Neodiprion lecontei: one gene and its partners. The protein of the gene in region 4 interacts with the protein of the main gene of each other region in a pairwise test. Links are inferred from orthologs where the notes say so. Each region holds a gene or a part of one and is shown on either strand. Other genes may lie near its edges. The genes, in order: protein mothers against dpp, myocyte-specific enhancer factor 2, protein hairy and homeotic protein ultrabithorax-like.

What was found.
Region 1: the proteins of homeotic protein ultrabithorax-like (region 4) and protein mothers against dpp interact in a protein complementation assay, tested with the Drosophila melanogaster proteins (2 studies listed by BioGRID). The link is inferred for Neodiprion lecontei from reciprocal best matches to the Drosophila melanogaster genes Ubx and Mad.
Region 2: the proteins of homeotic protein ultrabithorax-like (region 4) and myocyte-specific enhancer factor 2 interact in a protein complementation assay, tested with the Drosophila melanogaster proteins (2 studies listed by BioGRID). The link is inferred for Neodiprion lecontei from reciprocal best matches to the Drosophila melanogaster genes Ubx and Mef2.
Region 3: the proteins of homeotic protein ultrabithorax-like (region 4) and protein hairy interact in binary tests that used the Drosophila melanogaster proteins (3 or more experiments, as listed by UniProt). The link is inferred for Neodiprion lecontei from reciprocal best matches to the Drosophila melanogaster genes Ubx and hry.

What each region holds. Positions count from the first base shown.
Region 1 is NC_060262.1:38,138,930-38,146,965, forward strand, and holds the start of protein mothers against dpp, read right to left. Parts: upstream 6,032-8,036; 5' UTR 5,162-6,031; intron 4,968-5,161; exon of another isoform or gene 4,965-4,967; 5' UTR 4,761-4,964; intron 1,469-4,760; 5' UTR 1,367-1,468; coding exon 120-1,366; intron 8-119; coding exon 1-7. Other genes in the region: stress-induced-phosphoprotein 1, read right to left, coding at 7,976-8,036.
Region 2 is NC_060264.1:25,820,337-25,825,041, forward strand, and holds the start of myocyte-specific enhancer factor 2, read left to right. Parts: upstream 1-1,671; 5' UTR 1,672-2,078; intron 2,079-2,404; exon of another isoform or gene 2,405-2,598; 5' UTR 2,599-2,680; intron 2,681-4,705. Other genes in the region: protein mono-ADP-ribosyltransferase PARP16, read right to left, coding at 1-242. UniProt on the Drosophila melanogaster protein: Transcription factor that could be a key player in early mesoderm differentiation and may be required for subsequent cell fate specifications within the somatic and visceral/heart mesodermal layers.
Region 3 is NC_060261.1:36,901,501-36,907,317, reverse strand, and holds protein hairy, read right to left. Parts: upstream 4,074-5,817; 5' UTR 3,558-4,073; coding exon 3,411-3,557; intron 2,644-3,410; coding exon 2,548-2,643; intron 2,399-2,547; coding exon 1,562-2,398; 3' UTR 533-1,561; downstream 1-532. UniProt on the Drosophila melanogaster protein: Pair-rule protein that regulates embryonic segmentation and adult bristle patterning. Transcriptional repressor of genes that require a bHLH protein for their transcription (e.g. ftz).
Region 4 is NC_060260.1:3,090,389-3,095,217, reverse strand, and holds the start of homeotic protein ultrabithorax-like, read right to left. Parts: upstream 3,010-4,829; 5' UTR 1,822-3,009; coding exon 1,149-1,821; intron 1-1,148. UniProt on the Drosophila melanogaster protein: Sequence-specific transcription factor which is part of a developmental regulatory system that provides cells with specific positional identities on the anterior-posterior axis. Binds the consensus region 5'-TTAAT[GT][GA]-3'.

The DNA of each region.
Region 1 (8,036 bases), on a different chromosome or scaffold from region 4:
AGACATCCTAAAAATAAGAATTCAAGTTGAGATTGTGAGCTCGACTGGAATTATTGAAAGTGGGGTTTTCTCTGCTACTAATAAAGACAAAATAGGTAGAACAGGTCTTCTCGGCCCACCTAATAGTGCACATTTTGGTCAACTCGTAGACGGCCTCAAATCCGTGATTAACGCTTTGCGAGAGTAGCTGCGCGAACTCCTGATTGTTGAATATCTTCAACGAGCATCCTGGTGGTATTTTGCATACGGTGCTGGGATGAAATCCGTGATGGTGATTACAATTCCTGGACTGTACAAAAATGGCCGAATCGGATAGACACTCGGCGTACACCTCACCGCCTACGTAGTAGAGGTGAACCCCCTTTCCTATGTGCCTCCTGGTGTTCTCTATGGTCGAATTTCTGTTTACATTCGACAACTGCCCAAGGCAAAACCGATCCGAATTGTTACTGGGATTGGTGAATCCGTCGACGATAACGGAGTGCGACTGGCAGTGGAAGACCTCCCCGACTCTGCAGTTCAGCTCGTAGTAGGCTATCGATGCCCAATAGGGTGGCTCCTGGTACGAAACGGGTGCTACCTCGGCGGAGCCACCCGTATCCATCGCCGTGGCGTCAGGAGGCGGCGACTGTCCGTGTTGCGAGCCGTCTTCCGGAGGGGAATAAGCCGGCGGTGGTGTTTCCGGCAGGCCGTTACTACCGTAAGGGCTCTGCGGGTTCGGCGATGTCGTGCTGCCCGGACTGGGCACCGAGCCGACGGAGGAGAGCGGGGACGTCGGGTTCACGCCGACGCCTGTCCCCGAGTTGAAGCCGCTCGACGAGTAGGAGACGTTGTGCGGCATTGTCGGCTCCGGAAGCTGCTGGAAGGGAAGGAGCGAGTGGCCCGGGGCAAACTCGGAGTGTCGGGGGACCAGAACGGGCGGGAGAACCGGACTCTCGACGCGTTTGTAGTGGTACGGGTTGATGCAGACCTCCTTCTGCTTCGCCGAGAAGGGGTACTGGCAGAGCTCGAGGGGCTTGAGCTCGTGGTGCGACTGAAGATCCGGCCACCGCCACACGCGACAGTAGATTACGTGCGGCAGACCCTTCCGGTGCGAGACTTGGAGCCGACCGTCCAGGCTCCGAGGTATCGTCACACACTTGCTCGGCGTCCCAGGGCAGCTCAGAGCTCGCTCGAGTTCCTCGATCGCGCCCTTTCGTTTCTTCAGTTTTTTCACAAGCGAGTCGACCGCCTTCTCGGCCCACTTTTCCTCCTCGTCGCCCTGCTTCCATCCCAGCAGTTTCTTTACCGCCGGACTCGTGAACGAGAACAAACTGTTCAGGGACGACATCGGACCCGAACTCGACGAACCCTCCTCGTCGTCCATCGCGATTTATTACTGGCTCAGAATATTTTCAAAACGGTCGTCGATTCCGGGGTTTGAATCCTGTTCGCGAGTATTAAGACCTCGTCCGTCTCCACCTTCCACCTGAAAACGAAACGGAATTTTTATTTTTTTTTTGTTCAATTCGATTGCTGGTGCATTGTTCGTTGGTATAAAAATTCTTTAGAGAAATTAACAGAATTTTTTCATCTTTCCTCCATAATCCGCCACGATACCAGTTTTAGAGATATCGAAGTTGGACATAAATCACCGCGGTTAGATTTTATATGTTTAGTTTAAGCGTCACGAAACAAATAAATTTTGTTTACATCAGTCACATATTCGGTTGAAAGATAATTTCTTAACTCTAATATGTGTTCATCTATAATCATCGTCTGTTCATAAAATACTACAATTCAATTCATTGGTTGACACGATCTTGCAAAAATATTTGAACTACGGAAAAACAATAGCCAGCTGATGGGGATTGCAGGGTTCAAATTAGTTACGGGTCAGTCAGGTGGAAGAAGGGTCGTCGAGCGTTCTCAGGTAATGAAACCCTGCGGAACAGGTTGAACGAATGCCTGAATTTCAAAGTTTCTGCGAACACTCGATACCTCGATGGTTATTCATTGTGTCTCCAGCGCATTATGTTGGCAAGCCGTTAATTAAGATTCTCGTAACTCCGAAGACCTGGCAATTTTTTCAAATATCTACCGTTCGATTCGTTCACAGATGATAGTAATAATAATAATAATAATAATAGTCTATGAGTGCTCTATTGTCTCATATTATATGAGTGTTTTTTGGTGACGCAGTTGAGTAAACATCTGCAGGCGATCGTGATTAATCATTTGGCTAACCGTCAGCATTTCTTTTACAAATAAATACATATATTCATATAAATATATTTGCGTGATATGTGTAATATTTACATTGCAAACCGAACACCCGAAAAAGATCGTAGAATGTGCAGTACATATTTACCAAAAGTTGTCCGCAATTTAGTGGCGATCCGTAGAATTGAAGAAACTGGTTTTGAAGGATTTGAAATAAAAATTTTACAACGGATTTTTAACGTGATTATATACCCAAAGAGAAAAGTAGCCTATAATTAAACAATTATATAGTCGGCGGTAAGAATAATAGATTTTTTTCTTTCCCCGACGCGGTGATAAACTTTTGATCCACCTGTGATCTATTTTTATTCTTTACACCAAATTAGAATTATATACATTATATGTTTTACACGTTCCAATTGAAGTACGTAATTTCGTGGAGGTTCAAAGTATGGATCTTACGCTCTGCGCGCCGTTTGCGTACTCCGCGTAGCACCGCGCGGTCTGCAGAATCCACTATATTTTATACGCAGAATTTAATGAAACAGGGTTTAATGCAAAGCGTTGGATAGATACGCGTGCGCCTTTCCGCGCGTGTTCGTGTTACGTGTAATATGCGTAAGAGGAACTTATGTACGTACATACGTACATGAATAGAGTAACTGACGTGGCGCGGTAGTAAAAAAAACGGCGCGAAATTACACGCGCAGTGTGTTAGAGGAGCGTATAATAAGAGAGTAGAGTAGAGTATAAGGTTGGCGGGCAAGGGGCGGGCGTAGCAACGTGCTCGTTCACCCTTCCTATCAGTTGCCGTTTTTCCGCTTACAGTGAGTCATTGCACTTGCCGAGCACTTCAACGAAATCAAATGACGATGATAAATGGGCAATAATAAGAATATATTGATAAAACATAATACGAGAAAAGAAAAAGAAATTAACAAACGCATGCGTATATGTACAAACGTATAAATACATGTACACGTACGTCATTCATTACGTTCGGTCATTCAGAGTTTCGGCCGTGCCGTTACGTAGAACACGACTGTTCACCTTCGACGCATCATATTGCTTTGCAACTTTCCAACAAATTGTACTGAAATGAAAAATTTTCGCAAAACTGCGCCAGACGACTCACGCCTGCAAGAATTTTTTCTCTCTCACCCACCTGGTATTATTATTACACGCGGACAGGATGTTGCGACTATAATAATTCGACCGATCGTTCGAAATATAGAGCAAAAGAAATCCCAAACTCTGTATATCTACGAACGGCGATTCGTCAATGGATACCTGTAGGAATTTCGATACAGAGCGCGTCGCACGGTTGCAAATGCAATCTTCTTTGAATGAAACAAAAAAATAAATAAAAAAAAACCAAAACAAAAACGCGAAAGTGATAGAAACGACTCGCTTGTCGCCCCCGTAACTTTACGCCATAGAGCTATGGGGTCTGAACCCTATTGCGTGTAATACAACGCGGCTTAAATGAGACTTGAAAACGAACTCCCGCTGCTTTCGTATACGAATTAACACGTGTTCGTCGATCAGTTTTTCCTTCCTTCCTTCTCCATTGCTGCACCACCACGGTACATATATGTATATGCATACGTGTGTAAGTGTATATGCATATATATATATTTTATATATATATAATCACTACCCGGGGCAAGTGGCAGAGCAGAGCAGAGCGGCACTACAGTTCCGAGAATATTTCTTTCAATCGAATTTCTTTATTTATTCTATTATTATTGCGATCGCCGCCCTACCCTCACCCCTCTTTGATCCGTCGCGCGAGTCTCTTTTTCTCTTTCTCTCCCTCTCTCGCTGTTCTGTAAATTATACATACTTATACATGTAATGTACATATAATAGTGGCAGACTGTTGCGAACGATAAAGAAATTTAATTTTACGTATTATAAAAAAACCAATTACACGGATGTTGTGTACGTTTGATAAATCGCGGTAACGAGTTGTTCGCGTGTATACTTCGGTACGTGTGTGAAAATTGAAAAGTAAACAATAAAATTATCGAATCACAGAAAAAGAAACTGTTTCTTAATTGGTTAATCAATTAATTATTCCATACCTAATCTGTACCGCGTGCAGGGTGAAATCGTGGGTCAAGACGGTCAGATCTCGGAGGTAAAAGATTTGGTCAGCGAGAATAAATAAACATGAAAAAGCGTAAGACACAAATTGAAAAAACAAGTGACAGGCTTTAAAATTCATATTGGAATTATCCGATTCGAGGGACGTGGATATTTGTTCTTAGCATTCGGAAATCGGTAATTAGTTTCGAGATGTATACCAATGTAATTTGCATCGTTTCATTGTTCGGATACATATTATATACGTTGCAGGGTGAAAGTGATAGCACTTAGAAACTTGTTGGGACGAAAAATTGAAATAAATTTACACTTCGACGGAGAAAGAAAGAAAAAAAAGATAAAAAAAACAACAACAACAACGACAACCCTGTGGAATATTCTACGTAAGAGAATGAATGTATGAATGAATCGAGTTGTGTGGCAATTCGTGACATGTAACATTTACTCACGTTCTCTCCGCGAATGCGAGTTGCTGGTTTTTCTCCTTCGACGATTAAGTTGGCGAAAGGACGGGGTTCCGAGAAGCACCTCGAGTAAAGATACGTCACTGTCAATTGCAACGAGTCAGAGTGCGTGCGGCGAGCGTTTGTTGTTTGTTGGCGGTTACTCGTAGCGTAAATCTCCCAACGTTCTCCTCAGGATCCGACGATCCCCTGCTTTAAGGGCGATTGAAAATAAAAAGAAGAAGAATGTAAGAAGAAGCGAATAGTGAGAAAAATTGCAAAAGTAAACGCAAAGTTAAGTAAGTTGCGGCGAAGGTAAAGTAATATTGAAATGAGAAGAATCAAACAAAAAAATAGAAAAAAGAAGGATGCGAAACAAAACAACGCCGGGGAATAAAATCACTCACTTCGTGTATATGCGTGTATTTCGTAACGAGGATCGACGCAGGCTCGATAATCCCCCGGAATCGATCTAAACTCTCGTGCGGATCGAGCGAGGCAGGTAGGCGATACGATGCGCCTCGGCTATCGGCGGAATTCGCTCCCCGTCCGTCAGACTGGCCGATATTGTGTGAAATCAGTCGCCGCTGCCCCACGCCAATGTGGGCATGCATGCAGTGGACGGCGCTAGGCTCTCTCGGTCGAAGGAACGAACCGACTACTCCTCGCGAGGCTAGCAGGCTCGCGAGGGGCACAAGCACAAGATTAACCCGCGGTATCGAGCAAGACGACGGTCGTAATTGCTGGCCGAGTTCGGCGAGACTGGTGCGCGCTGTGGAGTACTGGCCGACACGCACGATTAAACACCCGCGTTGCTGAAACGGAAGTTCGGGAAACGATTCACATTTTTGAGCACGTTATTTGTCACTAATGTTTACACACCACCGTCCATGATGTCGCATAGCATTATGGCGGCCGTGTTTACGGGCGACGCGCGTCACTGCCTCGACTGCCTGCTGATGCTGCCGCCGCCGCTGCTCGAAGGCTCAAACAGGCAGAGCCATAGCCAGAGCTACCGGCGCCCCCGGTGACCGAGAACAGAGGCGATCCCAACCACTAACCCAACGGTCGACGACACGCGCGCACCGCCGACGCACGTCACTCGACAATCGCGTGTGCGCCGCGCTCGCACCAATTCTCATTACAACGCGATCGAATCCCCCCTTTTCACATCTCATTCGGCTCTTCTCTGGCTAATCGAATATCCGCACGGGTTGCGCTTGCTTCAGACCCTCCCCGCAAACCGCATTCAGCTACTGCAGCTACTGCAGCAGCTGCAGCAGCTAGTCGTTCGCGGATCTCGACGATGTCTGGCGACTCCGTTGTGAAACGGGAAACTGATTGACTGGTTCGATTGATTTATGTAGGCATTCTCTGGGTGTTCAACGTCGCTGATAATTACGAGGTTGACGAAAAAACTTAGACTGTTATCCCAGGGGCATATTTTCGTGACCATTGATCGGCAGGTAAGTGGGCCTGAGGCGTTGAGAAGCCGTGTTTAAAACGATACGGTAGCTTCTTTATCGGCGGGAGGCGTTCAACACGCAATCCCATCATCGCACGAATACCCCATTAGGGTAACCGTCTTTGATAGCCTTCGGTCAAGGACTGATATTTTGAGTCGAAGAGGAAATTGCCATGCTCGCAAAACGTTTCCGCACGTTTTAGGCATGCAAGAAACCACTGTTTTATCTCGGTCGGGCTGACCTTGTTTTGTAAATTCATCGACGGCGTTTCAGGATGATTCCAATTGGTAGGGCATGTATGTAAAGATGATGATAAGGTATTCAGGGCCTTATCGCTCGCCTTGCTGCACTAACGGAGTCCCCCGAAACTCCGAAATGGGACGTCATACCGTAAGATCAACTCTGCAAAGAGAACGCAATTTCTGCATTTATTTTTGGCAATTGCATGCTATTTTTGCCTATGCTATATTTTGACAACACAATGCAACGCATTTACAAGATCAGAGGCATAATAAGAACAAATATGTGTATACAATATTTTAATTATCAATAGATATAGATAATGTTGTTATATATGCATGTAGTATGTTTACATTATGTATTTATATTTATTATCTTTATTGGAATAAATAATAAGCGGTTGTACTTTACTTTTCAGCACAATTCAAGATAAAGTATCGCAATCAATATTTGCCTAAAAAAAAAAAAAAAAAAAAATGGCTACGTACGACGATGAATATGATGGCTTTTCCTGTTGAAGTTTCATGTTAAAATTTGGAAAGATCACCTGGTATTTACACCTGATTCCTCGATTATCTTGAAACACGACACTTTTTGTCTCCCCTCGCAACATGTATTCAGGTGATGGAGGAATCGGATGTTAATGCCAAATGTAGCGTATGCGTTACAGAACTTGCCTTCATGGGCTAGTAAATTAAAATTTTTTTGTCTTATTTTTATTATTAGATACGTTATGAACTATTTCATAGTATATTTTCCGTTTTTCACATAATTAGTATTTATTTATTTTTTCCTTTTCTCTTTCCTGTAATATCCTTACTCATCATTTGGTTAGTCGTCACCCGATAGATTGCTTGTATGCATACCCATCAACATATAAAAAGTCTACCACTTGCGAGTTTACGTGGAGAAGACGAAAAATTATGCAACGAGGTTGAAAAGAATAATAAAATAAATACAGGAATACTTGAAAGAGATAAGTAAAATTACAATTTATAGACAGCATGGTACCATCTTGGGGTACATAATTTATACACGGAAATATGTAAACTTTGGAACGAATTTAGCAATATAGTAAATAAAACTATTCGTAGTAAAGTACAATGCGACAATATTTATTATTCCTTTTAGCTCAATTATTTACCGATACAAAAAACTTGCCCAATTTCAGACATTGGGAAATTCGTAATTCGTATTTGCAGATTTTTCTGAAAAATCGAGAAAAGGTATTTGACCGATTTGACTAGCAAATCGCATCACAATACAATATAATAGACAAAACAGCAAAGGCAAGCACTCGCTGGAGTCGAAAACCTCATTCACCCAATTGTATGTAGAATACGATAAAAATTGTAAAATTAACGTATCATTAACTAAATGTAAAGCCGTCTTCATCGTAATGAAGGAACACAGCGATGATAGAATGTTATATTGTATTACGTTGTTATCTTCTAAGGCGGGTACAGCTGGTAAATTCTTATAGATATTGTTGGCTGTTCCATTCCCCTGTCTTTTTCAATGTATTGCTACAAGTCCGGATTCAAGAAGCTTTTGTATTTTTGCCGCAATGTCAGGA
Region 2 (4,705 bases), on a different chromosome or scaffold from region 4:
GCAGCGACGAAGAGAGACCACTTTATGTCAGCAGCGACAAGATCTCGCTCCAAAATTGTTTTCAACAAGAGTACTTTCTTCTTTGGGCATTCTTCTATCGTGAGCGATCCGAGGGGCGGAGGAATAGTCTGAGGGTCGAACCCAAGGCGGCTGGTCGAGCTGCAACAGTCCTCCTCAGGGTCGAATTTCACCTTTGCCTTGAACTCGGCATCGCCGCTCGTCGCGTTCGTCAAATTCGCCATTTCGCAAGAGGACAACGAAAGAATGTTCCCAGCTCACACCGAGCCCTGAATTGTCATCGCATTCGAGGTGGAGAAAAGAAAAATACCGATACCACCTGAAAAATTTATCCCGGTGAACCGACACCCTGGTATCCACCGACGAAAATAAGTATTCTAACCTCAAAGGGTCGACCGACAGCTGCACAAATTCGTCTCCGTCAGCTAACCTGCATCAGCAGAGGCTGTGATGACCGACGTTTTCAGCACAGACTGTATTGTGGCTCCGCCGGTCAAATTTTTGAGATTACAATACCTGAGAAATATATCGCGGTGTAAGTTGTGTGATAAACGGTGCGTGCGTAACAAGGTTCTAAGGCAAATGTTGATGCGTGTAGTTTGTGGGGTATTTTTCTTATCAGTTTTGTTTGATTGTTTTCATTTGATTTTCCGTGTCAAAGAATTGGATTGTGATCTTGCTTACGTCTTCGTTCACGAGGAATTTATTTGGTAAAAAAATTTATTATGTATATATGCACAATTAATCTTTCACATATTTTCACCAGGGTGTTTTTTTTTTTTGTTTTTCCACACAACGCCGGTATTATACACGCGACGATCACGCAACTTTTCGCATTTGTTTCTTATATCTCTTGGCCCTCTGTTAAATCGTTTGAAAAAAGACAATAACTGTAATTCGATAAATGTAATTAAATTGTATTAGATCGTGACAGTTAGCCTGCCTGTGTAATTTTGAGAAATGTTACGAGAAAAATCTACCCATCGATTGTTCGTTAATTTGTATTACACATATATTCGGCATTAAGACGTTTCTTATTTTATAGACTTTCGATTTGGAAACCAGGTGGATTAATATTAAACTGACTTTAGGTATGTCGTTAGTTTCTTGCCCTTTTTTCCCGTTGGAATTTAAAGAATAAAGACTAACTTTAGTGGCGATAGAAGAAACAAACAAGAGTATGTATATTACAGGAGATCAAAAGATTCCCTCTGTAATATAATTCTGATCGTTTGATGGTGGTGTTAAATAATGACAACGCCAAAGATAATATCGTATCGAAAAAATTGAATAATCGTGCGTTCACGTACGAGTCGTTCGAAAAATCGGACGTTTTGAATTTCTGCCGCGCTAAGCGAGGCCTGCGCAATGGATACACATTTATCGACCGCACCGCAATTATCTCTAGAATACGGCAATCGGCCGCGCGCGAATAAATTCCCCCACATCAGCCTTACAAATTCCCCGAGAATAATGAATTTGTTCAAAAGTAACAAGGGGGTAAATAACCGGAATAAAAGAGTGTGATAACAGTGAGTTTTGTCGAGGTGATTCGCGAGGGATATTTACAAACGAAAATAGTGCAAATTGAGCGTGACCAGTCCGACAACAACGTGAGTATAATATTATTCGAAAAGTATGTTCGAAACATATGTCCAACGAAAATCCGCGTACGGATTTGTCGACGGCGGGTTGGCCGGACTGCGGCTCAATGTCATGCGTTCAAGGTAAACTATCGGTGACGTCAGTGGACGTCACTTAACAAGTGGGAGTGTATGGAAGTAGCCTCTGGGAACGGTTGGTTTTCGGTCGACGTTCCGTAGTCGGTCTCGAAGTTGAAGAAAAATCTGAACCGAGGTGACCGAGAGGCGGGCGAGTCGTTTCGCGGGACAGCTATGTAGACTAGGGGAAAACAATTTTCTGTGTTAGTTTACACGTGGTGGTACGTTATGAGCGCGTTATGTACGTGGAAAATCACCGAAAACAAATTGCGCATGCCCCGCGCCCGATGACGTCATGAAAATTGTGGTTTTGATCAAACTCCTAGCTCGTTGATCATGGTTGTTCTTTTTTTTTCTTCTAATTTCTTTATTTTTTTATTATATTTATTATTTTTTTGCTTCTCCGTATCTTAAATTACACACACACATTGTATATGTATATATAGGTACATATATATATATATATATAGGTACGTACATAATATATAATACACATATTCGCAAGGTGTATATACAACGATATATCTATACGACGTACGTGTACACAGTGGAGACATAGGTATACACATAAACGCATACATACATATGCATTTATATATATATATATATATACATGTGTATATATATACATATACGCGGTATATTTGTACACATAATATACACAGGTTTGAAAATATATTAAAAACAAATAAATAAATAAACACACTCACACGGTTCCAACATGTTGACGTACAAAGTGATATAAAATTAAGAGAAAATAATAATAATAACAATAATAATAATAAAAAAAAAAAAACCTGGTGTTAAGTTTTTGTTTTCTGTTTTTAACTATAAATATTATTATATACATGAAAGACAGATTAAAAGTCGAAAGGATAATATTGTGCACCTATACCAGAGGGGAACTTGCGACGGAGAGAATCGATTCTCGTTCAATATTCGTGAGTATTATTTATTATTGACCCCCATTTTATTCGCAAGATATGTACATGATACAGTATTACCTATGCCTTCGTACATAAATTCGCGTATATTTACATGCGCGTATATCATCGGCTCGTACACGGATACCGCATGTCCGGTTCTCCGTGTAATTTTTCTCAATACTCGTGCTACACCGTAGTAACAATCATTACAACACGCATGTATTTGTCCGTGGACTTTTTCACGCAACGGCGTCGTCGGCTCTCGTACCGATCCGTCGTCGTCGTCGTCGTCGTCGTCGTAGACATGTTGTATCGTGTTGGAACGACATGGCCTTCACACATACGTACGCATGACATTGAGTTTCCTTTTCGGTAGGTAGCGAAAATAATGATTCTCACCAGATACGAGAGGAGAGAGGAAAAGGAAAAATTTCAGATCGGCTATAAACACGTCAATTATTGGGTGGATGAGAAATACGGGAAAAAGGGGGGAAACTGGAATTGATGGAAGTTGAAGATAAATTGCTTCGATTATTGGTCAATAATCGATGCAGCGCTACAATTTCAATTACAGTTTTCACAAACAATATATCCCAAGTTACATGTTCACGACGGTGAATATTGTCGGATCGGAGTCGACTGAGCTGGTCGTAAATTTACCAAGTCAAACAACAAACCCAGCGGCAGAAGTTCTCTTATTTTCACACACGTTGATACATGCTAGCGACTGCGAGTTACATGTGTCGTATGCGCATAACAGAGTAACTTCGGACGATGTGTGTAGATCGATTGTTAACACCGCGCGCGACTTTGGTGCAAAAAAGTATCGTCGTCGCTTACCTCCCGTTTCTCACGTCGTTTCTCAATATTTGCTCCACATTTGTCTCGAAGAATTTCAATATCGTCGCCGTTACTCGCAGTCGAGCTTAGTAACTTTGCAACTATTATATAGTAGTTTTGTTGATTGAAGACTGATTGTATTTTGTTTTGTCATTATGACTGCGAGAGCGAATTTGTTCGTGTACTTGACTCCTCGACGGTGTTTACTTTGCCTCTTACCTCTGTTTGCCACCGTACTAAACATTGTTTACAATACATCGTATGATTTATCTCCCACGTAACTTCTTTTCCATAACTTTATGGCGTTTCTATATTCCTTTTTTTTTTACTTCCCACCCTTTCGTCGTTCTGTCTGATAAAATAACAGCCCAACGTAGCGAATTTATTCTCGGAGTGCATCTCGGTCTCAGAACTTTGTTCGATCTTACTTTCCCATCCTTCACCAGTCGATACCAGTTACACATTTTTCATTCGTTTGTACTCTGGCGTCGATTCAGTTTGTAAAAGTTCTCTTCTATCATATTGCAAGAAATCTGGAGATAGGCGTTGAATCCGATTGAACCAATCGTCGAGTTCAGATTGTCGATACACCTTCAGAAGTCAATTTGTACTCAGCTGTAAGTCAGTTCCGATGTCTGAAACTTGGAAAAAAGTGTCAGTCTCTAGAATCTCAGTATTCATTTGGTCACATTAAGATTTTTCGCATCGAAAAGTGATTTTCTTTTCTGTCTTATCACGTTTCTCGAGTATTGCAAGTTACAATTGAATAACTAAATTCATTATTTCCAAGTTCAAGTTGAAGCGTAATTAATCGTTCGGCAAGCACAAGGTTTACGCGCTATGGTGATTCAGAGTTGACGATCTGAAAGGAGTTGAGAATATTTTTTTTACGATGAACGTGCAGATAGATGTTTATCAGTTAATTTATAACACGGTATTAAATTTGCGTTACCTGTTCGTTTGATCTGTAATCAAGATGTTAATTTTCTTCTCTTTTTGTTTCGTTTTTTTTTTTTTTTTTTGCCTTTTTTTTGTCATTGGTGTTACTGCCATTATTATAATTATTACAATTTTTATTATAATTATTATACGTTCTTTATTTATTTTTTTGCCTCGTTACTTTATTTATTTTAAACGAACGTGGCCGCCGTCGCCACCTAGAATCGAGCTTTCAAGGCTCTTTCGAAAGCTCCTCCACTC
Region 3 (5,817 bases), on a different chromosome or scaffold from region 4:
CGTCGACGAAAAAGAATGCCAGGACCCTCGGCGAGACATCCGGGCTCTGAAGGGTTTCGCGTCATCCCGCCAGGCGGCAGCAAGTCCTTGCAAAGGGTTTCGGCGGCAGGACGCACGCTGGACTTTTTTTGGTGCTCGAAAGGCGCGCACCGTGCTCACCGAGAGCCGGACGCCGAGGAGTGGGAGAAGATGGGTCCTTGACTTAACTCGCGGTTAGTCGCTCTCCAGACGTGCAACGTGTGTGAGATGCGAGCGGCGAACCGGACCGAAGGAAGCTGATTTCTTGTTCAAGAAGCGAACAATTTTTAATGGCACTTTGCAGACCGATCATTTTTTGTAAATATATTTTTCGGATAGTTTGACGAATTCTAATACTACAGAAACGTCGTGGTTTTTTTTTTTTTTTTTTGGAATTTTCAAGTAGAAGAGCCTGAATCGGCTTCGTGAAACGATATGAAGACGTCAGAGTCGGAGTATAAAGTACAAAGGGAAAGGAGGTGTGCGGCGGATGGGGTTGAACTGACGAGTCAAATTAAAGGTTTTAATAAAGAGATCAATTTATTTGACACTCTTGTTGTAATAAGCGTGCTTTTCTATCGTCATAATAGACAGGAATAATAAACTCAATCTTTTACACTCATAAATATAAATAAAACATTCTTACATACGTCCTTTCTTTCTCTCTCTCTGTCTCTCTTTCTCTTTCTTATCTACCTATATCTCCTCTCCTCTACATATTCTTTCGTCAACTTTTTCTCGTCGTATCTCGCAATTTCTTACATCACTAAACCGTCTAATCGGATAATCATAACAAATTAATTACAAAATTCTTATACATCTATTATAATTTACACAACGTTATTACACATTTTATTTTTATTCTGTTTAAACGTTTTTTTTCTCTGCAGCGCGATTTACGTACACAAGAAACATATAAGGTATTAATTATTATTAATGGAAGACTTGAGTGATTCTTGTTGCGTAAGGCACTTATATAGTTTAATAATCGTAGAGGGTGACGGGGGTACAATAACGTACGTTATACCTACACTTTACAGTTTACTATATTTACATTTCTAAACTGTCGGATCGTCAAGGTTCAAATGAATTTCAATCAAATAGGTTTCCGAACCGTTAGTAGAAAAAAAACCAAACCATTACACATTTATATTTTCATTTCTTCTTACTCTTATCCATCGTCAATTAGTCTCGGTTAAAGTCCACAAGTGGCAAATATCTCTATATATACAAAACAACTCTAGATACACGATCTACAACAAAGGCACTGTTCAAGGCACTGCCCAACAGGTTAATTATTATACTGGCCGACATCGCGGAGACACTCACTCTCTACATCCCTAAGCTCTAAGTCGTTACATCATTCTCGTTGGAAATAAGAAAATGAATGAAAATCATAAAAAAAAAAAAAATAACAACCAATCAAAGTCAAAATAAAAACGAAGATCAATTAGTCTTTGTCGGGGAAGCCCAAGTCATCGATATTCTCTCATCTCTCGATTCGCACAGGCGCGTTAAGGTAAATCCTCGATAAATCTCCTCCTTACCAAGGTCTCCAGGGTTTGTCCTCGACCTCAGGAACGACGCTCTTCCTCATAACGAGAGCGAGAGGTTTCTGCAGCGGCGCACTGTAGACCCGGGGATCGAACTCAGGGTCGCTGGTGTATCCGTTCGCCGGTGAAGTGGCGACGTCTCTGTGGCTTGCGGTGGTGGTGAAGGGTGAATTCTGCTCCCTGAATGTGGGCGGGGGCGCCTCAAAGGCAACGGGACTGCCGGCCGAGGTGGAGGTCGAGCTCGTCGAGGAAGAGGACGAGGATGCCGACGCGGTTGAGGCCGTCCTCTGGGGGATCGGTATCAGGGTGGGTAAAGGCGACGCGGGGGCCGGCGATGCCGACGGTGACGCGACGGGTGTCGCCTTGGCGCCAGCGGGCAGAACGAGGGCGATGTCGCCGTTGGGAAGGCGCGTCGGTACCAACTGGAGTCCCGTCCCGTTGGCGTTCGTGAAGAAGATGCCGTTCGACTGCTGGACCTGGATCCTGGGTGTTGCGTCGACCTGCGGCAGGATGTGGACCTGGAGTTGGGTCGCCGGCGCCGCCGGCTGCACCGGCTGCTGTCCGCTCTGGCCGTTCGACGTCGTCGTCGAGTCGACGGGGCCCAGGCACGAGGCCAAGTGCGCCATCAGACGTCGCTTCACCGACGCCTCGAGGCCTGGGAACCGGCCGACTTCTCCTGCGCATTCTGTGAATCCGGCACGGAACTTGTTCAGCACGTTCGGGTCTGTCGCCGCCGCAAGAGCTACTTGCTGACGCTGCAACGTCTCCAGGTGCTTTACCGTCATCTCGAGGATGTCAGCTTTTTCCAGCTTCGAGTGTCTCGCTGGCTGTAATCAGAAATTGGAGAAACACGGTGGTTAGTCGAATGCAGTCTTGTCGCTGCAGAGGAAAGGATACGGAAGAAACAGAATGAGAACAGGACTAATCCTCACGCCTGTTTCACCTGCTGAGCTATTCGAAAATTATAGATACTTACGTCTTTTTTCATCGCGTCGAGTATCAGGGTCTTCAGATCATTCAGGCAGTTGTTAATCCGAGCCCGACGACGTTTTTCCATTATCGGTTTATTGCTCTGTAATTAAAAAAAAACATCATCGTCGGTTAATTTCAGGGTCACGAATTTAAAGCGTGCTTACAAGAATAAAAAAATAAATAAATAAATAAAACGAAAATAGGCACAGGAAATTTCAACCCGGAAAGCAGTGGAAAAGAAGAAACCGGCCGGTGGGATTATTCGCGGTATTAAAGCCGGCCGACGGCGACGTTCTACTTTCTCTAGGCACTTGGACGCGTCGCCTTTAACAGCCTGCCTACAATCGAATCGAGCGCTAGACATTTTCGCCTCAAAGACGACAAGTGTCCGTCGGTTCAATGACTCTTAGAAATCAGAAGCTGCAGGTGTCTCCGTAAAATCGAAATAAGAATGAAAATCCAAATGTGTTCCGTTAACCCGCACCCAACTGAACACCCTTGAATAATTCGCTCCGAAAAGACGCGGAGTGGATCTCGCAACTTTTGAGTGATTGAAATTTCGATCAGAAAGAAAAAAAGAAGAAACAACGCTGATAAAAACGAGAACAATTTTTCACATCGAAAGGCAAAAAGTCGGACCATTCTTGCCATCTTTCCAATTTCTTGACCAGCCAACCGGTTATACGACTCGATCGGAACGTTTCAAGAACCTTGTCGGGATTTTAGGGTGTTCTTTTCGAACTAGCTATCCAACAGCTCCGAAACGTGCTCAAGATTTTATCGAATTTATTCCTTATGTTTCGCTAGATTTCTTAAGATTTCTTTTTGTTTCCCATTATCTCGAGAACATATAGAAGAGACACTAACCCGTCGATTTTCCCCGGATCGTCTGGTGGTTGAAGTCGCAGTCTGAGCAGGAGGTTGTCCTGCCTCCTGAGGCACGTGTTGGGTCTGTGGCGCAGAGCCCACCGTGACACCTCCGGTTGGCATCGTAGCACCAACTCCGGTCACCATGATTTAAACGTTATAATCTCACCTCAGAGAGACGAAACCGGGCGTATACAATCTCGTTTTAATCAAGTTTAACTATCCTCTCCACTATTTTGAAAAACAATGTTTTTTCGTTTTTATTTAATATATTATTTCACACTTCACAGGTAGGTAGTAAAAATAATCCAAAGCTTCTTCGACGGCGATTGATGACGGCGAACGAATCACTTTGTTGATTAAAAAACCAAAAATTCTTAAAAACCACGTTCTTTTCTTTTTCGTTAACGTCCACACTCGTCCCGTAATCCGATCGGTGGTCAATTTCGTAAAATGAAAAAGTTTGGAATTCTTTATCGTAAATTGCAATCGAAGTCGAAGCTTCAATCATCCGCGGCCAATTGCCAGATCGCTAGATCGCTCCTAGGCTCGACCTGTCGCTGAGCGCATCGGAGCTCGACTGACTCGCGTACTCGCTGCAGTCCGACGTTTTCTGGCTCTAGACTCCGACTCCTCGAACGAGCCGACCGTCCTCGACCGCTGGGAGGGGGAAACGGGCCCCCCCCCCCCCGCCCTGCCCCTCCGCAGCCACTTTTGGCCGACGGCGCCGCGCGGCTGCACGCTTCTCGACCCCCACCTCCGGCCTGCTCGAAGCGACTCGTCCTGACGCGTCTGGCCGTCGAGCTTTGCGGTTGCCTTGAGATCCGCACATATCTACACATTTACCTACTACACATTCTACTATACCTGCACTCCCGGCAGTCTGCGGCTTATCTGTAGGTCGTGTTTCGTTTCCCCGGTGTTTGGAATATTCCGCAAGTGCGAGTAGATCGACAATCGCGTGGGATCGCGACACGCGGAATAATGTAGCAAGCTCGAGGCATCCCCGAGAAATGTCTTTTGCGGAATAATCGTGAGTCTGAGTTTATGAAGCGGTTTTTCCGCCAAGTGTAATTGCTAGTCATGACATCGTGAATCGTCCAACTACGCCGTACTTTAGCCGCGTTATTAATAGTCGCGTGCAGAGCACTCGGTTACGCGAGAATATGAGAATTAGGAAATCCTGCTTTCTTTGCGGTTGATCGGAGTTCTTTGCACTCGGGATGTGATTCACTGACGCGATAAGTAATACGAGCGGGGTTATCGCGATATCCGGTGTGTTGGTAAAAACGTCGCGGAATCGTACCAGCAGCCTAAGTCAAGGTTTACAATTTCGTCGGTTCGTCATGGCACCGCTCAAACTACTCGGCGTTTATACGGACCGGATTGCACGCAACAAGGCTGGCTGATCTCTCCTTCTGAGTGTGTCAGTCGTGCGGAGTTTCTTGCATCGTTCTCGTCATAGTCTCGTGCACGTGGGCGAGGGGTCGGAGGAGGGCGAGTCGCGCCGGGAAGCGGCTCGCGACCCCCGGAGCGAAATAGATAACGCGGTGCATCCGAGGCGCGAGTGGGACGGCGATAAACGCACGCGTCGAGGGGAGGCTGGAGAGTGAGAGGAGCAAGTATAGCGAGCTTGGGAAAGTGGAGGGGGGAGGCTACGCGCCGACGGAGAGCTCGAGAGACGGGCGAGCGACAGAGACGCGAAACATCACCGGCCAATCGGCGAGCTCCTATTCGATCCGTCGCACGCCAGCCGCGATCCCCATTGGCCGAGACGCCGCCCCCTCCACTCACCGAGCGCGACTCGCGTCGAGCGTGCCGCTTAGTTGGTCTGTGGTGGGGCGAAACGATCATTCGACCTCTGGCGCTCGGGCTACGTGGTCGCGATATTTGATATCGGTGGGTCTTTGCGTTCCGTTGAAGGACTTCGACTTTTATCTCTTACAGACTTTTTAACCCTTCTACGATCAAGGTTCGCCCTTACAGGTGTTATACTCTCTTTACCGAGATTGTAACGGGCTGGGTTTGGCTTCGTGATTAAATTCAGCTGAAACGGGGTATCGTAAGAGTCATCGTACCTACGCTGGCGATAAATTCTCCGTCATTAGCCGGTCGTACCTGTACGATCGTCTCATGCGATCATCGACGGCAATCGACGCATCGCCTGCGGGGCTGTCGGGTCGATCCGTCTAACGAGGAATGAACGAGCGGGTCTCTCGTCCGCTATCGCGATTCTGATTGTACCGGGTCCCTGGAGTTTCTTTTTTCGCGTCAGATTAATCGTCGCATCGATATTCGACGTCCGGGTTACCTCACGATTATCGCATCCGTGGACGTTGTGGTCGTGTACTATACACACCCGAGTCAAGCTAGGCTGATTTGTTCAGCTTCGCGGTCGCATCGTGCA
Region 4 (4,829 bases):
GCGGCGCGGTTGCGGGACGGAGAGGCGTATAGAGAGGAGTCGAAAAGTGAGATCAAGTCGGGCTCTCGATACGCGTGTATGCGTGAGTGTGCGTGAATGTGGGATGAACACAGGTAAGCCTCGTGTAGCGGTGATTATTCCCATACTGGAAAAGAGGGAGAGAGAGAGAGAGAGAGAAGGACCGGACTCTCGGCCATCCAGCAGCGTACGTGTGACTGAGATCAGAGTATAAACAGCTGACTCCCGGAATTCAGGTTCCGGAGGGGTGAGTGGCAAGAGAAAGGCAGTTGATCGGTTGAACCCCCAATTGGACGCTCCGCGCCCTCATCCCCTGCATTGTGTACAATAGGCGTATTACACGTACCTACGTACACACGATGACATTTGTATACGAGCCCACGGAGCACTTATCTCCCGTGTATACACAAGGACCGTGCTTATGCAGGCGGCAATTTTACACGCACTTGACTCCGTTTTGCCGCCGTCTTAAGGGCCCGTCAATCCGCGGAGGTTTGCGTTACAGGACATGCGGGAAAATTGATATCGGATATTAAACGGTCTCACGGGAGGAAACTTTTTCTTGCGGATGAATCAAGCCGGTAGTTGGCAGGCGTAGTAGGTCGACCAGAGACCCAGAATTCAGACTAATTTACGATCAATTTATCTCCGGCACTGAATAGACACCCACGTCTAGTCTAGACGCGCCGATTGTTTTTATTGAGATTCAAAGTGGAGAATCTCGGTCAAACAAAATCCGGCCGTCGCGCAAGTATCCTGGCTATAGCGATTTGTCACGACGCGATTAGGTACGCGAAAGACAGACACAACCGCGCGTACATTCGCATACACAAATTACCCGGTTCGTCGCCTGGCTACTTTGAATTCACCGAGCAGGCGTTTTTGGTCCCCTGGTCTCTCTCTCTCTCTCTCCCTCTCTCTCTCTCTCTTTCTCTGCCGGCGAGTCTAACCGAGCGTGAGTCCACGTGCTTCGAAAGCCCCGAAGTGTAGGTATTGTACCTATACGCGGCAAGCACGTGTGCGATCTCTCCGACTAAGAACGGTCGCTCTTCACCCTTGCAGCTACTACTAGGTGGATCGGGACCGGTCGGCGAAAGGTCGGGGATGCAAATTGCGCGTGACAAACTCACCTGCTATGGCCATCCAGGGGTAGAAGGTGTGATTCGCGGCGGGTTGCTGATGGAGCTGGGTGGCGACCGGTTGGCTGGCCGCCGAGTTGAGGCTGCAGGTGTTCCAGGAGGAGGCTAACGATCTCGAGGAGCCGTTGTTGCCCGGACTCGAGGCAGGATCGCCTCCCACGAGGCTGCCGTAGCTTCCGACCCTCGTGCCCTCGGGTGTGCACGCGGAGGGCCTGACGACCGGGTTGCTCTGTCCGTTCGCCGCTGAGGTTGCCGACTGCCAAACGTCCTTGACGGCCGCCGCGGCCATCACGGCCGCATATCCGTTCTGGTGGGCCGACTGGTCCTGCTGTTTGCAGTCCTTCGCCGTCGAGGACGAGTAGGACGAGGTTGTGTGCTCCGGGGTCGACGAGTATATCTTGCAGGCCGTCGCGACGCTCGCGTCGTACGGCGAGTCCTGGGGTGGCCTGGTGTTCGTTCCGCCGCCGGGGTGGATGCCCAGGGAGGAGGACGTGTGATGATGGTGCTGGGTCGAGGCGTACGGCGACATCCCAAGGCCGAGCGGAAAGGTGCTGCGATAGGCAGCGGCTGCCGTTGCGGGGTCGTGGTGCTGGGCCCCGGCCCCGGTCTGGTGATGGTGGCTACCGTAGAAGCCACCGGCGGTCTGCTCGAAGTACGAGTTCATTATTCCTAGTATTTTGAATCACTTGCACTGGACACCCTCACTGGAAATATTAAACCCTCCCTCCGCCAAGGCGAGAAAACGCCAGGGGACTTTGGTCCCGGCTAGAGGAATAGTCTGTACGGTCAGCTGTTCTCCACTCCTGAGTATAAGCTGGTACAACGGATCGCGACGGAATCGCGAGGCTCGACGGCTCTCTACGGAACCGCGATCGAACGAGGACAGGTGAACCAGATGAGCAAGGTGCGAAGGTGGCGGGGATTCCGTGAGGCAAGTAAGGACCGTTCAAGTGGCCGTAAAATTCACCGAGCGGTAGGGTCACGACCGAGATTTCGAGAGAGTCTCGGTGGCGTTTCGGCGGGCGCCCTCCGGTACTCAACGGGCCACTACGAGTGCCGATCAGGAATGGACACCATGACGCGTTTCTGGCGATTAGACGAGCGATCGGTGAACGGACGGCCGCGGTACCACGTTGCCGGCTGAGCCAGCACCCTGGTGCTGCGGTGGTTTGGAGGCAGAGGAGAGTCGCTCGACGCGGAGAGTGACGACCGTTAAATCGTAACGACGCAATAAAACCCGGCAATAAGACGGGCTATAAAAGTTGCCTCCTCGTCTTTGACTCTCTGGTAACCGCGACGCGGTGCGCCTGGCACGCGACCTTCGTCAAACGCCAGATTTCCCTCTCTTTCTCTATCTTTCCCTCTTTCTCTTCCTTCTTCTCTCTCCCTATCTATCTCTCCTTTTCCTCTACTTCTATATCACCCCCGCGATTACAATACACCCGATTCGTTTGACATTTCGGTCTGAAAGGTATTATAATATACAACAGGAAGTCCGCTGTCTATTATCGCATATAAAAACGGTGCTCGACTCAAGCACGCGGCAGGAGCGCAGGTGGCGCCCGTAGTTCCCCGTCTCTACTCGTTAATGTATACCGAACCCGTTGGTACCACCAGGCTGGGGTGTAAACCGCGTGAAACGAGATAAGGCCGCGCGACTCGGCGGTCGGAACTGCACTAGCACTCGGTCGAACGTGGTGGTGGATCGTTTACGCGGACTCGAGCGCGACTGGCGCGGCGCGCTCGTCCCTCCTTGTCGTGCCGCGTCGTTCCGTCCCGTTCTGTCCCCTGCGTGAGAGTCGGAGGCGGTGGAGGCGGCGGGCGGGCAGCGGCGGCAGCGGCGGCGGCGGCAGCGGCAGCGGCGTGTGCGGTGTACGCGAAATGCGGCAGCCTGGGAAGGGGATCGTAACTTGGCCACGGTATGCCGGTGCGGTGGTCCACGGCACACTGCTTTTCTCGCGCCCGGCGTACCGCCGCGCCACTCGGTACGTCCGCTCTTTCTCTCTCTCTCTCTCTCACTTTTTCTCTCTCTCTCTCGCTCCTCCACAGCCCCCGGGACCCTCCCGTGGAAGAGGAAGGCGACCGTCCCGTCTCGCTCGCACGCGTGCCGCGCCCCCCTCCGCGTGGCCGGGCCGTCCCTCGACGCTGGATCTATCTCCCCCTCGGAAAGCTCGGGGCTGCTTACAGCGCCCCCTGTTGGCTACTCGAGAAACTCGGCGACGTGCCGCCGGATTAAAATCGAGAACGCCGCTCCGCGGATACGCCGCTGGGTGCCAGACGAGGACCGAGAACGAACGGCGAGAGAGAGGGACGAGTCGCCAAGGAACCGATGGGGTCGCAGGTAGGGGAAGAGCGCTGCTTAAGGACCAATCGGAATTGAATTCGTCACGAGCGCCGCGCCGCCACGCTGCGAGCTTACTACGCCCGGGGAAAGTAGTTCCCCGGGTGAACGACGCCAATAGGCCAGCCAGGACCGCCCCTCTCCCACCCTCGAGCTTTCACCCTGGAGGGAGATACCTCACACGCGGAGTGTCACGCGTGGAGGACCGCTCACCGTCGGCGCCACCTCTGAGGAGAGCCGCGAACCAACATCCACATACTCATCCCGGCCCTCAAACGACCAACATCAACGACGTTCAATTGCAAATTCTATTATTACGATCGACGCTCGCACTTGTTCCTTTATTCGCATTTCGTTTTGCGTACTATCTCTCTTATTGCCGACGCTTTTGCCGCGACGACAAGGCGAGCCGTGAATGAACGGAATTCGGCGCCGTTTCTCTCAGTTCCGGCAAACTGATCGGAGCAAGCGGTTCAAAAATGCGGAGCGCGCAAATTGTTACGAAAAAAAAAAAGGAAATTCGGCACGATAACGAAGTCGAGTAAATACGTGAAACGAGAGAAGGTGGTAAAGACACGCAGGAAATAAAATGCAATGAACACCGCGGTGTAGCTGGCGCGAATGAAACAGTTGAATGAAAATAATCGCGGAGATAACCGGTCTCGTGCCTCGAAACGCGGCAGGCAAACGTATGGTAATAATAATATCGTTAAAGCTTTTACGAGCACTTTATGCTTTACGGGCCAATTAGACAACCGTACAATTAAAATGTCGTAAAAATGAGTTCTTCTTGGTTCCGTATTACATACATTAAATTCACGGCACACGGTTACAACGGCGTTGCGATATAATATACTTTATACGCACAAATATCGCGTCTATTACATCGCGTATAATATCCGTATCACACATATTACACCGAAGTGCGCGGCTTCTCCGATTGATGTGTGAAAACGTAGGTGTGCGCAACACGCGCGTTAAACCAGCGCACACATCCGTATCTTGGACGTTGGTATCGGGTCGAGTGTTTATTGGGATGTAAATGTCGTTGGATTATCGCCCCCGCGGTTCGCACCTCGTAAATTATTCCATAACGATCCGAGTAATGCCCATCATAAGCCTCCCGTGCCGCTCGAGCTTCCCATTTGCTCTTCCACCCGCCACCCGTATTACACACACACACACACACACACAGAGAAATATATATCTATACATAAACGTTTATGTATACGCACGAGCAAATGCGCCACGGAATCTCACCACTAGCTGCCCGAACTGCAGCTCGGAAAGCTCGGTTGATGAACCGAATTTTCGGGATCACCGGGCCAATC